4 linked regions of the Drosophila melanogaster genome follow. The protein of the gene in region 3 interacts with the protein of the main gene of each other region in a pairwise test. Each region holds a gene or a part of one and is shown on either strand. Other genes may lie near its edges. The genes, in order: CG31415, CG15083, CG11379 and Syx6.

The links.
Region 1: the proteins of CG11379 (region 3) and CG31415 interact in a two-hybrid assay, tested with the Drosophila melanogaster proteins (one large-scale study listed by BioGRID).
Region 2: the proteins of CG11379 (region 3) and CG15083 interact in a two-hybrid assay, tested with the Drosophila melanogaster proteins (one large-scale study listed by BioGRID).
Region 4: the proteins of CG11379 (region 3) and Syx6 interact in a two-hybrid assay, tested with the Drosophila melanogaster proteins (one large-scale study listed by BioGRID).

The regions. Positions count from the first base shown.
Region 1 is NT_033777.3:9,741,888-9,745,165, forward strand, and holds CG31415 (uncharacterized protein), read left to right. Parts: upstream 1-1,629; 5' UTR 1,630-1,672; coding exon of another isoform or gene 1,673-1,780; intron 1,781-1,844; coding exon of another isoform or gene 1,845-1,975; intron 1,976-2,024; coding exon of another isoform or gene 2,025-2,127; intron 2,128-2,182; 5' UTR 2,183-2,188; coding exon 2,189-2,662; 3' UTR 2,663-2,775; downstream 2,776-3,278. Other genes in the region: Pnn (pinin), read left to right, coding at 1-81, 313-332; CG34409 (uncharacterized protein), read right to left, coding at 1,166-1,542, 1,673-1,780, 1,845-1,975, 2,025-2,127, 2,794-3,278.
Region 2 is NT_033778.4:18,833,493-18,837,345, forward strand, and holds CG15083 (uncharacterized protein), read left to right. Parts: upstream 1-1,770; 5' UTR 1,771-1,899; coding exon 1,900-2,020; intron 2,021-2,787; coding exon 2,788-2,855; intron 2,856-2,923; coding exon 2,924-3,086; intron 3,087-3,162; coding exon 3,163-3,263; 3' UTR 3,264-3,350; downstream 3,351-3,853. Other genes in the region: CG15098 (uncharacterized protein), read right to left, coding at 159-292, 473-626, 819-904, 984-1,170.
Region 3 is NC_004354.4:1,178,181-1,182,096, forward strand, and holds CG11379 (uncharacterized protein), read left to right. Parts: upstream 1-1,984; 5' UTR 1,985-2,083; coding exon 2,084-2,689; 3' UTR 2,690-3,371; downstream 3,372-3,916.
Region 4 is NT_033778.4:11,218,057-11,222,885, forward strand, and holds Syx6 (syntaxin 6), read left to right. Parts: upstream 1-1,877; 5' UTR 1,878-2,267; coding exon of another isoform or gene 2,268-2,302; 5' UTR 2,303-2,324; coding exon 2,325-2,565; intron 2,566-2,871; coding exon 2,872-3,573; intron 3,574-3,727; coding exon 3,728-3,804; 3' UTR 3,805-4,282; downstream 4,283-4,829. Other genes in the region: CG9084 (uncharacterized protein), read right to left, coding at 1-107, 150-326, 1,027-1,111.

The sequences.
Region 1 (3,278 bases), on a different chromosome or scaffold from region 3:
ACTTTGGGAAGATGGAAGACGATACTGCAATAGACGAAAGTTTCTATGAAGAGCCTGACGACGAAGAGCAGTTGGATAAGTGTAAGTAAACTTCAGTTTGCACTAGGGCTTGAAATATGATCGTGCGGATATCGCTGTGTAGGGCAATTGGGTTTCAATTTATAAAACTTATTTATGAAACTTTAATTTATAATACAAAAACCAGATCTTAAGCAAATAAATTACAATGCGGTGATTACATTTAAAAGTTATATCGTATTTATCAACTCAAATACCTTTGTTTCAATGTTCTACTTCCTGTTTTTATTGCAGCTTTATTATACGTTAAGTAAAGTACCCAAAAGTAAATGATGCTATTCTAGGAATAAAGGATTACAACTAATGCAATTTAACAAATTATTTGCAAAAGCAATTGTTTTACTTCACCGAATGAAGGGGTGTTTAAGAACATCAATTTGTGGACAAAACCAGTTATTCTTTATTGCCATTATTTATGTCCTACTAGAAATAAAACTTGGAAAAAAAAAATTGTTTACTGCAAGCAAGCTATATTTGTATCTTTCAAAAGAATTTGTAAAATTGTAAATAAAACTAAAAAATATTTTACACGCAAGATATTGGATCGCGAAATAGGAACATTAAATACCTAATTATGTATTTATAGATATAATCATCCTGAAGCTAAATCACATATTTTATTCTCGCTTCCAAATTGTTTGAGGAAGTAACTAATTTAAAATGAGGCGTTAAAACAATTATAATTCTTTAAGCGATAAGTTAAGAACTCTTATAAGATAATTATACCTTCTTCGCCGTCTATTAACATTATTAATTAAGACCAGTAGTCAGAAGCAATTAATGAAAAAATAATATGTTAACCTCTGATTCTTGTACTGTATTCGTGTAAAAAAAGAACATTGTTTTTCTGAAAATAAAATGAGAGCATTGACATCCGCCATATACAGTAGAAAAATACAAATTTGATGAATACGATTGTTATACACGTACATTTTATTGAAATTTAGGTGATTTGAAGTGGAACCGAATTTTTGTATTTATCCGTAGAATGTATGAATCATTGTTCTTTACGTCGATGTATTCTGAAGACTTTGGCATTGGAAGCTTTGGATGTAATTTGCTAGGGATGGGTTCCCAACACGACCGCTCACTGGTCAGATCCTTCGGCGATGCTTCGCAGTATCCAATCGGAGAAGCTACTCACCAGGGTGTAGACCCCCGGAATGGTGGTCACGCCGCACAGCGTCGGTCCAAAGGCCACGATGCCGATGATCGTATAACGTCCACTTGTTCCAAAGACGCCGGAGGTACCGTCGTCCATAAAGGGGCCGCCACTATCGCCTCGGCACACGTCATTCATGGGCATTCCCTGGGCGCACAGGTGGTTGGGAGTAATCACAATAGGCTGCTGGAAGTTCTCACTGAGACTGGCATAGGCGATGGCGCAACTGGTGGTGTTCACGATGGGCAAACGGATGAAGCGCACCCCAGCGGTGGAGTTTGAGGGGTCCATCGAACTATTATCTGGATAAAATTTGTAGTAGAGAATGTTATATACATTTAAAACCTAATATGCACTGAATTATATTTCGATCGCATTGATAGTAAGTTAAAAAATGTAACAGATCAGATATAAAGTTGTTTCGAGACTAACTTTCAGTACTCCCAATACTCCAACCAGCAGCCACTCCAATTTGTCCTATCAGCCTGTTTCCCAGTGTGATTGGCCCGTTGAAGGGTAAGCATATGGGTGTGAAAGTGCCTGCAAGGTTGGTGGTGGTTATTCAGCGTAATCATTGACCTAGGATAGGAGTATAATCTCTTACCATTAGTGCTGTTGATTCGTAGGAGGGCAATGTCATTTGCATACTTGGGCTGGTCGTAGTTCGGATGAACTATAACCTGCTCGATGGCAAACGGAGTCGCCCCATCCTGACTTCCCAATCGAACATGGGACCTACGAAAGAGCGTGGATTACAAAAGATTTAATTAGGCTTTAGACTTACAGTTCCAAATCGCTGACTAGGTTGACCACACAGTGGGCGGCAGTTACGATGTGGTTGCTGGATATCAGGGATCCGGAGCAGCGAAAGCTAATGCGGCTGCTGCCTGAAAATATTATCGTAAAACTTCTGTAAGAATAAAGATTTTTTCTTGTTTTCAGCTCAACATGTGCGCTTGCCCTTGTTCAGGAAGAAGTCTACCACCTCAGAGCAACAACCCTGATTCTTGCCCAGCTCCTGGCTCACGGGGCGGTCCAGGTGCTGGTGGAGGTGCCCCTGGTGCCGGTGGAGGCGGCCCAGGTGGTCGTGGAGGGGGCCCGCCCCAAAAGCGTGGAACGTGTGGCCCCAAACCTTGCGGCGGACAGCAGTGCAATAAATGCGGTAAGGGAGGCCCTGGAGGAAGAGGTGGCCCTGGAGGAAAAGGTGGTGGCCCTGGAGGAAGAAATGGCCCTGGAGGTAGTGGTGGTCCCGGAGGCAGAAATGCTCCCAATGGCGGTGGTGGAGGCGGAGGAGGACCTTTTGGGCTGAGTGCCCCACCAAACAATCGCGGACCCAAGGCTCTGGGACTGGCTGCTCTGCTCTTTGCCGTCGGCGTCTACCTTACATTAAAAATGGTTATTGTGGCCAGTGAAATTGGATGAGCGCAGACAGGACGGCATTGGGCCCGGCTCAGATCTCCAATGCGGAGTAAGTTTAAGAGCATTTAAGAGGCGTTGCGTTGGGTAAAATAAATTCGAAATTGCGTATTTAGCCTAACATAAGATGTACTTACTTCGGTTGCGATAAGCGATCCTTGTCAGCCAGGGAAACTGTCCGGCACTAGCCTGATCTCCTCCCAGCAGTCGGCTCTCTACATTTATCCCACATCCTTGGGTGTTCTCCTGTGCGAAAGGTGGCATCGATGCGGTTGTTGTGGATAAAGAAGCAGGAATTGTTTCAATTGGTGTAGCTAATGTTGTGGTAAACGGCGCCAGGGGCGGACCTTGATCTATGTTGGAGTCAATTGCCTCCTCTCCCTGCCGCTGGAAGCGTAGGTCCCCGGGAAATACTATGGGCTTATCCTTTGGCACGGGTCGCAGTAATGTATCCCGTTCTTCGTGCTCCACATGATACAGAAAGTGGTGTCCCAAGGCGAACCGTCGGTCGAAGAACTCTGGTTCCACGGGCTGGGGACAATTGCGTTGTTCCTCGAAGTTCCAGTAGTCATGCAGATTGGTCTCCGCTTCCAGATAATCCCCGTGTGTGTGGGAGTGCCGG
Region 2 (3,853 bases), on a different chromosome or scaffold from region 3:
CAGATTTTCATTCTCTGATGCATGAAATACAACGTAGTATATAATTTTGGTGCTACTAGCTAGAAAAATATTGGGTTTATCGGGGAAGCCCCATTGGAAACATTCGAAAAGGGATATGATGAAATAAGAGCTGGCCAAACGGGAAGCTACACTGGAGCTTAAATCTTGGTGTAGCTGGGATAGGAGTTGGTCTGCTGGGTCGGCTGTGGGATCAGCGGGCGCTGGATCTCACGGGATGCCTGGATCTGCTTGAAGAGCGAGTAGATGCCGTAGTAGAGATACCAGGTCAGCACTGAAAACGAGCGAATGGAGAAAAATAAGCATCGTGCCCAAGCGCAATTATAGAACGATCGCAGACCGTCGAGCGATAAGCGCAATGGGGATCCACAATTTCGCAACAACGGCCAGTGTGTATTGTGTATACCCATTTCCAGATAGAGCTTATGTATGTATGAAGTGGTGAGTCACTTACAGAGCAGGCCAACATCCACGAAAATGATTGGAAGAGCGCTCAGGAAAGATGTATTTCCGATGATCTGGGCCAGCATTGCAATATTGGTGATAATTCCAAAGACAAGCAGCACTCCATTGTTGATCAGCCAGGGCAGCAGGAGTAAATGGCGTTCCTGAAAGGCAAACGCTATTAGAACCATCTCTATCTCTAGTTAGTATGGTGTATGTACATATGTATTTGCAAAGAAACTTGCCGGTTTTTTTTACAGAATAGTGGGCTTTTAAAAAGGTCTAACTCTAGATATGTACTATAGTAGACACATATATACGCGATTGTACAGATTGCATATTGATACTAGACTTACCTTAACGGTACCTGCAACCAACATGGCCGAAGCCAGAAGATTAATCACCTTGAGCGCCAGGTAAACACTGAAAACGATGATTAGCACTGCAATAACCGCAAGAACAATGAAATACAATAAAAAATATACGATTGGTTGTGGGTGCACTCGATGGTTAGCCCTTACCACTGCGAATCTCGGTGGCCGTCTTGTTAGAATCTTCCGATCCCTTGGCGATCTGCTGCGCAATTTCATCGACGAATCCGAGGGCCAAGGACAAGAGGATCGTGGCCAAGAAGGATAGAATCACGCCCAGCCATCCAATGACCACACCATAGGTGTTCAGGCGCATACAGAAGACCCTGGACAGCATTCTGGATTCACTTGATTTCGTGCTAATGCGAAGATAAAGACAATTTTACTTCAGTTCGCCGGCGCAGCAAAATTGCAATTGCTTGATAAGTCGCAATTGGCTGACAATTAAAAGCTTTTGGGTACAGCGGCGTTGCCAGACTGGTTCAAGCAGTTGGTGTCGAAACTGTGACTTGTTCACCAGCTTTTAATGTGACTTTTTAACGCTAATTGTTTAAAATTCTTTTAATAACATTTTTATATTTTAAATATTTTTATGCATTTATTATTTGGCATGATAGTTAAAAAATATTTATTTATGTATTCATTAACACTGCACAGCAGCGGCTTACTTTCATAATATTTTTCAAGGTGCTAATAGTAGCTACATTACATATATAATACAGCATTAAATCTCTCTATTATTTTAAAGACAATTCCCCATTTTATTCATTTCACTCTTAAATGACGAAACATATGCAAACAAATTCATATAGTAAATGAGTGCACATATATTTTTTAAGAACATATCAGACGTAGTTTTTCCACGCTCGAAAAAAAAGTATTTTCGTGTTGCATAGTTTACGCAACCGTTTCTTCTGAGCGGCATCGGCATTTGCGCCACACTTATTATTTGATTCTTGCCCAGTGCGGTTGTGTTTCCGTGCGCTAGGTGTTCCCAAACCGGTTTAAGTGCCATACTAGCCATATTTGTATTTGGAAAATTCGCTGTAAACCACAGAGTTTCAAAATGAAAATCGATCTGACGGTGGAAAATGGCCCGTGCAATACCGATTTGCGGAGCTGGTGCCTGGGAATCGCGATCTATTGGCTATTGAGCATGACTTTCAACGTTATATTCGCTCCAAACGGTAGGAGAAATGCGAGAGGCGTGGCATTTGTTTATTTTCAGAAGCTGATTGCCCAGACTGACGCTATTTCCATAGAGAGACAATACATTCATGATGTTCACATGCGAAATAAACGAATGAGCTAATCCATTCGACACAAACGCGTTCCAATTCACAACCATTTTGGATACAACACCTCACCATCGATGACGACATCGCCGACAAATTCGAGCTGACAATTCATTTTAGGTGGCCCGAAATGCCATTTTCTCACAGGCTTGAATTTTCCAGCACAAAAAAGAAAATTAAATAATTTCCTTGGGCTGTGCATGGCGCAGAATTAAACTTAAAAGATTATTGGGTTTTAACAGTTGAACGCCATATGTCATAAAAACACTTAAAGCCCTGCATTTGTCCATGTCTCAAAGAAGTTCTATAAACCTTATTCTAAGCTGTTTTAAAAAGTTTGTCATATTTCATGTATGAAATGTGTTTAAAATATAAAAGAAGAATTTATGTTTTAGTTCTTTATGTATATGTACACATGTACATGAAGTGCATCAGTGCATCAATATGTACTCATTATATACGAAGATACATTTAGCAGTCGTGTTCTCAAATTTCAGACGGGAAGAAAGATAAGAGCACAGCAACGTTTTGCTTGGAATACATTGAGTCACTTATAAGCCCAAGTTTATGTTTACTTTCCACTAATTGTAACGGCTTTTTTTATGAATGAAATATGTACGTTCAATAATTTCTATTTAAATTCACTTGAATCCTTGCAGTTCTTACCTTTATTGGATTTGCCATCGTAGTAGTCGCCAATATTTGCTTATTGATAGGAACCCTGAAGGTAAATAAAATACAACCCATTCCGTTTTATTGAGTCAACGAAACCCAATCTACCTTTCCGAATTGCAGGAAAAGCCAATTCTGGTGTTCGTCTGGCTGATCTTCGCTGCCATTGAAGCCATCTCCTTTCCGTTTGCCGTCTTCGGGGTTATCTTCCACTACGGAGGATATCGCGAGGCTACCGGAATGAACAACGTTTTCGGTGCCCTGCTCGTTTACATCATCACATTTCGTAAGTATCGGCTATGAACATCAAATTGAGTTAACAAAAATGTACAGATCATACATATTCTCCGCTACACTTTCAGTATTGATCCTCTTCAGCGCACGAATTGTGTACTCCTTCTACCTCCAGCTGAAAAACAGCGAAGCCAGCAAACAAACACCGCGCGCCATGAATGTGGTTTAGTCCTTATCATTCTACACTACATAAATTGTCGGGGAAGAGCCCACCGTTCGTTCATCTCAGTGTTTGCAATAAAATGCTTTGTTTTTTATTTGATTGCAGTTTGTCGTTAACGCACATCTCTTACTCACATCGACTTGGGATCAACTATCAACAGTTAAATACATTGGTTACATACATATACATACAGGGTGCTATTGGCTATTGGGCTACCGCGTTCTTAAACATTCAACATTTAAAACGATCGATCACACTACGGACAATTATATACTCTCGACACAGTTCTCTATCTATATAGCTAGCTATCATACTCGGCATCGTCTTCTGCTCCAATCTGCTTACTTAGACATAAAATGGAAAGTTGGTCATCTTATTGTTGCTGCTGTTATTGATGTTTTGCGACTGCGTAAAGCTCGTCTCGGCATTTTGGGTAGTTAGCTTAGCCTGCACGGCCGCCAGTATTCGCACAGCCTGGCCAGTACTGCCCGACTCCATGGCAGACTCCATACCTAGGTTCAGGTTCAGCTTGAGCTCGAAGTGTGACCCACTCGCTTGGATCTGCGACTGCGTCTGCCGTTGGGCAACAGCCGGTT
Region 3 (3,916 bases):
ATGCGAACAGTGTTGGTCCCACACCAGACCAGTGTTGAATAACTGATTTTCTTCGTATTTACAAATTTCTATTTACCCACATGTTCCACACCTCTCAGTGTTGCCGAATCATAGTGCTGATCCCAGAAAATTGTTGTGAAGGAAGCACAAAAGGGTCATTTAATCGCAATGTGGTGGCAACATGTGCCCCAATTCTGGAAACATTTTTGAGGCTACCTAGAGAACCTCGAGAGCATCCCCATTCCTCCCTAACGGATTTGTACAGGTGGTTGGGTGGTTGGTTGCATTAAAAATGCATTGGCCAACTCGTTTATTGTTGCTCCTTGGCAGAGCTTTGGTTTACTTTTATTTAGACGAGCTATTCGCTGGGAGAGCCTGATGATGCAAGCTGCAGCTGCAAGGATTCCACTCCATTTTGGGAGACACACACTTTTCATTAGCTCAAAGGAAGAAGCATGGATCGGAGCTCAGCTCAGGTGGAGAAGGTAAAGCCCTTAAAGTTAAGCGCATGGGAGCGGAACAAAAGTTGCCTTAAAGTCGTTGCCAGTCAATAATGACAGAGGATCCCAGAGGATAGGATGCCGTTTGGAAATGGTAAAGCGGATGCGGACGGGGATTCGAATCGGTGCTGAAGCTTCGGCCACGCCCACTCCGTGTCCGTGGGCGTGGCAGATGAATGAGAGGAGCACAGCCCCCCGAAACCCCGAAAAGAAAAGCAGAAGCAAAAGCAGCTGCAGATTTTCTATAAAAGCCGAGGCTAACGAGATTTGATGAATTGCAAGTCTTTGTGAATGAAGCTACAAGAAAGCTGCAGCATGAATAGCCCCGAGGCACCGCCAGGCCGCCTCCCACTCCTTGCGCTTTTCCATCTAACCCAGGTCCACATAAAAAAAACCCATTAAGTGGTTTAAAGCAGTGAAAAAGCGCACAGCACACAACAAGCAACACAGCAAAAGAAAAATGCAGTTGACATGAAAGCCAGCCAAAACGGGGCGATACAGGGATACAGGGATGGGGGTGGTAGGTCGGTAGGTAGATTGGTAGGTGGTGGAGTCAGACAGATGAACAGTACAGAACAGCACAGCACAGCACAGAGGAGCGGAGCAACAATGCTCACCCAGAGATGAGATAAGAACAGCCGCTGGAGGAGGACAAAGCAGCTTGACGAATTACTTGGCAGCTGCTCCTAGTGAAATCCCTGGGAGAATCAAGGAGCAGCGGGCGGGGCGGGGGCGAGCTGTGCGGGAAAGGACGAGGCGCAAGAAATTTAATTTGACCAACATTTTGATGTATCAAGTTCAGTTGAAGCCGAAGATTTATGACTTGCTGACAGAGCAAGCGGAGCAGCATCACCAGGATTGGGACGTCATGTCGGCAGAGAACAGTGCGGAGCAAGTGCATGCAAGAAATTTTATTCCATGCCAACCAGCCTAATCATTTTATAAATCATCTTGGTTTACCAGACGTACATATATATTATTGTACATATAAAGATCTGGAAGAGCTTATCTATGAGTTTCTCCATGATCATGCTCAAGCTTTAAAGTCCAAAAGTTGGAGCCGCAAAGCTTTGGCCGAAACAAAAATGAAAGTAAGCTGACTACTATCGAGCACATTTCCCATTTCCACTTGCCTCACGTAATGAGCCCACTGAAAATGAGGAAAACAAGGCCTTGACATCTGAGCCTGTTTGACTTGTGGTGATAATTGCAATTGGCGCGGTGTCTGTGACTTCAACTGTGACGCAGACAGTGACTGTGATTACACAAAGAGGAAACCTATGCCATTACCGATGGGGTATTCTGCCACGCAAGAATGCTGTATAAATCATAATATATAAATTATAAATTGAAAAGATAACATCGAATATATTAAATATTGCCTTTAAAAACTTTAACAGAGTTTACAACTTGCTTTTTGTATCACTTCTTAAAATAACAAGGAATACTTGTACACAAGTGTTCGGAGTTAACCAAGTAGTGACTGCTGCTTTAAAAGTCAGTTGAATAATTCAGTTTAAGGCTTTCTGACCCGAATTTACTCCCGTAAAACTGGAAGTGTACACCTAGGAGGACATCTGGAGATGGCTCGACTAATGGCCTTGATCATGGCGGTGTTGCTTCACTCGGTACTGGGCATCTCGTACTACTACTACTTTCGCGAATCTCCCGGCTCCGCTGCTCCTCTCTTGGGCGCCTGGCTCTTTTCCGCCTGCGTGGTGACCCTTCTTCACGGGGTGAGGATGTTTTCAAGTGCCCTGCCCGCCGATCAGCGGTTCAGGAATGGGAATCGAAACCTTCGCGGCAATGAGTCGTCCTGGGCATCGCTCTTACTGGAGACAGGCGTCTGCTGTTTGGTGCTGGATCTGACCCTTAGCAAACTGTGGCATCGCATAGAGTCCCTCTGCCAGTGCGCCATTGTGGGCATACTCCAGGCCTTGGCCGTCGAGGAGCAAACCTTCCTGGTCTGCGAGTACTGGACTTTGGGCCTGACTACCGGCCTGATCGGCGCATGTCTTCTGTGGCTTTCCCTATGGGCCACCGCGTTGCCCCAGAAGCTCCGCTGCGGGATGCTCGACTGGCGTCGCACCCTTCATCGCCGCTGCTCCGCGCTGATCTTCGGAAGTCTCGAGCCCGGCACTCCAATGCAGACCCAATCCCAGGGAAGCGCACAGAGCTTTGCCAATTGAGACGGAGGGGTGACCATTCCACTTCCACAGCCATATCACACTACCTCAGTCAATAGCTAAATTTATGGTTCAAATTATACTAAAAGCGTTTTAATAGGCACAGTGGGACACAACGGGCTGCATCATAAATTGAATTATGAATAACCATAATAGTAAATTTCGATTCAAAGCGTAGTTTCTTTTAGCTTCTTTAAGAAAAAAATAAACTCAAAAATCGAACATATATTAAATCGCAAGACCACTTTCTGACCGAATCCATGAAGCCAATTTGAAGCGGACAACTACCGGCCAAACTGCCAACCACTGGGGGCTGTCATCCCCCCGAAAAAGACTTGTAAACTCGTTAGCCGTAGCCGTACCCATATGCAATGCGGAAGAGGACCGATCCGAGATCCAAAAGCGACACGCCCCCAAACAACCGATTCGGTTTCGGTTTCGGATTCGGAAGACGGAACCCAGCGGCTCAAAGTAAAGCAAAGCAAGTCGATCGAAAGCGAAAACGAAACCATTACTCTGATGCGCGATCGATGGCTGTAAACTTGAACTTGAAGCGTAGCCAAAAGCGATGGACACCACGACGGCAAACAGCAACTGGCAACTAGCAAATAGCAACTGGCAACTAGCAACTTGCAACTTGCAACTAGCGACATGCAAGAGCCTGGCACACGCAACAATGCCGCTGAAATGCTTCCAAGGCAGTGCCAGCCAAATGCTGTTGCTTGCTGGCGCGCTGTCGTGTTTCGCACTGGTTAAAACTGCAGCCGCAGCCTGTTGCCAATTGCGGGAAATTGGTCGGGTCGTCGAGCGATATAAAAGCCTGGCTGGCAATGCAGCCGTGTTAATCAAAGCGCGTCGCTCGCCAGGAAAAGTGCAAGTGTTTTCCACGCTCCCAGGCAGCATTCAAACTCAAATCGCAGAGAAAATTCAGCGAGGTGAAATACGCATACTTTTTTTTTCTGTGCTTATAATAAAATCGAAAGGTGTTCCAAAATATCTGACCTTCGTGTTGCAGAATTAACTAAGCTGCTATAGCAGATATAGTTCAGTTACAAGTGCAGCTTACGATACAATTTTTCCATTTCGGATGCACTTCGCGTCCTGAAAATCAGCTTCGGGTATAAGCAGCAAAATGTTATTTTATAATATCCTTTGGGTTAACAAGTAAAATATATTATCGCAAATATTTTTCATGAACACGATCCCTTAACTTTTCTCTTATTCGCTACG
Region 4 (4,829 bases), on a different chromosome or scaffold from region 3:
TTCTGTGGAACTCTCGTTGGCCGCGAAAATGGCATCACCCAGTGGAGATCGCACCACATATCGATTCTCCGAGGAGACGCCTGTTAGGGCTGCAAAGGGAAGACGAACTATTAGAAGCGATTTTAGCTAATTTTTGGGCTTGTACTTACCATCGTTAAGCTCAAAGGTCTGTTCAATATGTACGGACGGCAGATCTGCTAGGCAATCGTATCCGGAAAGTGGGATAAGCGTCCGGCTTCCCGTAACCGTGGCAATTGGCACTGGCAGCGGGATGCGTGGAGCCTCCGGCCTGGGTTGTGAGGTAATGCTGATATGGGAGTCATAAACTGAAGAAAAACAAACAAATCGTATATAGACCATTTTCCAATACGAGCAGAATCGTAAGGTTGTCCATATTGTTATCTTTGAACTAAGATTTTATAAACCTTTTCCATATCTTTAGGGTATTACAAACTTTTCCATAGATTGAATTTTGAAAGTTTTTAATATTTTAATTAAATTTAAATTTCATTTAAAGTTGTAGTTTTAAGATCATAATTTTACAGTGAATTTGAATTAAATAAAAATGGTTGTTGAACATTCTGCTAATAATAGCTCTGAGTAATAGCAATATTATTGAAAATATTTTGTGGTTATAACAAATCGTTTAGATTAAAACTTTAGTAGTTTTTCGATTTTTTCATAATCTTGTCACATAAATATTTTATTACTTTTCTTGGAATAGGAAAATGTTGGTATAGGATACAGCTAATATCATGGGTACGGTTTTACTATCGGATTGATCGCTGGGTTCGATCGTCCCAAACAAAGGCACTTGAGGAGTCGCAGACCATAACAAAACGCTGGCCGATAAGATATAGCCAACTTGTGGCCGCATTTTTGCGTCGAACTGTGTGACACACTCGCTCGCAACAATAATTAATCCGGTGCACTGCTTATCAGTTGGTAACAATTCGGTTACCCTTTTGCCAGGGTGATTCACTCGCTGTTTTTATTCGTTTTCTAAAGCCATATGCCCTAAATTACCTCTCGGTTCTGAGAGACTTGGCTGCTGGGCCACACGGATCTCACTGTCGTATTGCAAAGTGCGCACCGCGTTGTTTTGCAACATTTCGCCAGCACTTTTCAAACTTATTTGACGGCGGTCTAAATGAAATTGATAACGGTGGTCAGTGGGGCAGTAGCACAACGGAAGTTAAGTGCTTTGTGCCCCTCGCCTGGTCACACTTCCTGACTCAGATGATTTTAATACTCTATTACGAACGTTCTCATGTGAAATAGTAATAATAGCTTATTTATAGTGCTATTTTGTAAACTTTAATTCATGCGAATGTTGCAGGTTTTCAAAATATTCGTTTATGCTGCTCAAGCTGAATGTGGATAAATATATATTCAAATCCAGAGCTGCCACCTGATTCAAACTGTTTAGTAACGTATTTTCTGCACTTGCGATATATACTAAATTATCGCGGGATAAACGTGCTATCGCACTTGGGTCATACTAAGCCTTACGGTTTATTTTGCTAGCAGCAAAACAGAAATAAAACCTTTACTTAAATTTATTTATCAGAATTTGTCTCGTGTGAACTTGAAATTAAAGTCCGTCACCGTGTTCTCGGACCGAAGTTTGCTAAATGACGTGGAGACGAGCAGCAGGTGAGCGAGCGATGAAAATTGCAACAGTGCTGGCCATTTGGCCGACGATTTGTTGTTGTGGAATTTTTTGGCCAAAATTCGGGTTGTTTTCAAATCGGTTAGTCAAGGGGTTGGTAATCAAGGAACCAAAGTGCGCAGCCGCTGGAGCGGGAGCGGCGTAAACAAATGCCAGTGGGGTAGTGGTTCTCGGTGGGGGCTTAATCTCTGGAGCGCAAATAGCGACAGTGTTCTCTGGGCCATCGGTGGAACCAGCTAAGTCGGCGGAATCCACAAGAAATCGAGCGATAAGCGGCGGAGCGGGTCCAAGTGCAATAATCAATAAACGTGCTGTTCAAACATCGCTGCTAGGCGAAAGATAAAACCCAGTCGATTGTGAAATTCCTGCTATATAGAACGGATTGAAAGCAAAAATTTGCTCCCCATTTGCTTGCCTTTTGATGTAACTCCCACGAAGTGCTTTTGCTATTGCCAACTTGCAATTTGCCCCCTTGTACCTTTGGGGGGTGGTTTTCGCCCGGAAAAATCCATGAAAAGAACCGTCAAGTGCGCCACGCTGGTGAAAAACTGCTAGGAGTGTTAGTTTTCGTTTTGTGGCAAGAAGAGAACGCGGCATGTCTCTGGAGGATCCGTTTTTCGTGGTCAAGGAGTAGGTGTCCCCGATTTGGCAGATGGCCACATGCACTGCTGGTGGAAAGTGCTATCTTACTTATATCTCTGTTTTTTCTTTCATTTCCCTCCCCTTCCCCAACAGCGAGGTATTCAAAGCTCTGAACAAAACCCGCGGCCTCTATCTGCGTTGGCGGGAGCTGGGCGAGAACGGCGGAACGGAGGCTGAATGGACCACCACCGAGCTGCGTAACTCGCTACGGAGCATCGAGTGGGATCTCGAGGACCTCGAGGACACTATCAATATCCTTTTGCAAAGACCATTGAAAAATCAATTCGTTACCTGGTACTCATTTATCGAATTGCATTGTCTGTTTTATTTTCGCATAAAGAGGTTGAGATCCCATTTAAAATTGCTGAATATGCAATTTATTCGTGATTTAATTCGCTCGTTTATTAGTATTATACTAATAAACTGTACAGAACTTGTTTTTTTGGCACTATAATTGTAAAAAAAGAGTACTTGGTATCTTAAGGTCGGTAGAACCGACTTTCTAGCTCATCAGTCTCCTCGGTTTTCTCCTTAACCCATACCATTTTGACTCACACGCATCGTTGAGAAGAATCCAAGCAAGTTTCGGATCGACAACCGCGAACTCTCCAGCCGGCGCCACTTCATCGACAACACTCGCGATGAGGTCAAGCAGATGAAGGATAAGATGAGCCTGAACCGGAGCCGGGACAGAGACATCACCGCACACCAGCCGCTGCTCGACAACGATCGCCACAGCCCCAATCACAATCATTCCATTGCCATACCCAATTCGAATTCCAACTCCAACGAGTACCATCAGCATCCACACAACGATCGCACGTACCTCGTGGAGTGTCCCAACGGCAACTCGCTGATCAATAGCGGCAGTCAGGTGGCCAATACCATAGCTGGGACCATGTCGGCGGCAGCGGCAGCAGCATCCCGCCACAGCGGCACCAAGTACTCCAAGCTGGAGAACGCCCTGGACAGTCCCAGTCACTATGGGCAGACGCATCACGGCGGCATGGACAGTCCGAGTCATAGGTACGTGGGCGAAACAGTGTCCATACAGCAGCGTATGATCCAGGGACAGGATGAGCAGCTAGACATGATCAGCGATTCGATTGGTACCCTCAAGACGGTCTCGCGGCAAATTGGCGTTGAGCTCGATGAGCAGGCCGTCATGCTAGACGACTTTGGGAACGAGTTCGATACCACGGAGTCCAAGTTGGATACGACCATGAAGAAAGTTGCCAAAGTCTTGCACATGAATAATGGTGAGTGGTGCGGCACTTGTGGTATTCAAGGACTATTTTGATTGAAATATTAATGAAGAGTAAATGCTTCAGTGAACCACAATCAAAATTACCCATTGAATACTTTTGTGACTTCTGATTCCTAATTCTTAACTGTATCCATCTTCTTTCACAGATAAACGACAGTGGGCCGCCATTCTCATCCTATCCGGACTGTTATTGTTTGTGATAATTTTGTTTATTATTTTGTAATTGCTTTCGTTGTTCCCAAATCGTTTATATTTAGTGTAAATTAGATTTATTTATGACTTAGCTTGCTTTTGAATTCGGGCTCTTAATTACAATTCCATGTAAACTCCCTTGCTGTATATACACGGAAACATTTTAACCTGATTTATTACCAGCCGCCTCTCTCTATATATATATAATGTAATTCCAAAGCTACGGACAAATGATCATGTAAAGTCAATGTAGGCGGGTAATAAAAGATAACTAACTACTTACATATAAACCAAGTGCTCCAGAGTTCTGTCATTCCCAATTTGGCCAAAGGATACTGCAACTGTAAGCTGTATATACATCGAAGGATATATCTGCATATATATACATACAAACAAAATGGACCTACCAATATCAAACGAGTTATTTAACGAAGAGTCTTAGGAAATTTCACTAACCAAATCTAGCAAAAACTTGTATGCAATTGAGTAAATATATATACTTATAAATTAAATTCCTAATTTAAAGCCAAATGAGGTACTTCTTACGGGTCACCTAGAAATACTGTATGAGTGCACAGAGAGAAATTGTATACATATACAAAAATTTGTTCGCTATTTTGAAAGCCTAAATTAAACAAAAATTGGAAATACAAGCTTTCAAATTTTTTAATGTTTTTAAGGATAGTAGGATTAGTCAAGATGTTATCTTCTGATAGATCAATGATTTGGAAAATGGTATTTAATACCAAATTTTTCTCTGTGCACAAGGAGAGGGTATCAGGCCCCTTCTCATGTTCTCTCTGCGCCCCAAAACCACTCGACAGCCCACTCGATTTGCCCACTCACTCAGCTGTGTTGCATGCTTTTGCCCGGAGCTTTTTGGCGAGCTTACAGTCTGCGCACAGTGGCGCAACCAAAGGGGTATCTTCGAAAGGCTTGAAACATAACCCCTACGGGGAATCCGGACTACGCCACTGGGTCACAGCATAAGCACACGGGCAGAGCGGCACGTTTCCATGTGATGTTTTTCGGGTTTCGGCATTCAGTGTTGTTTGC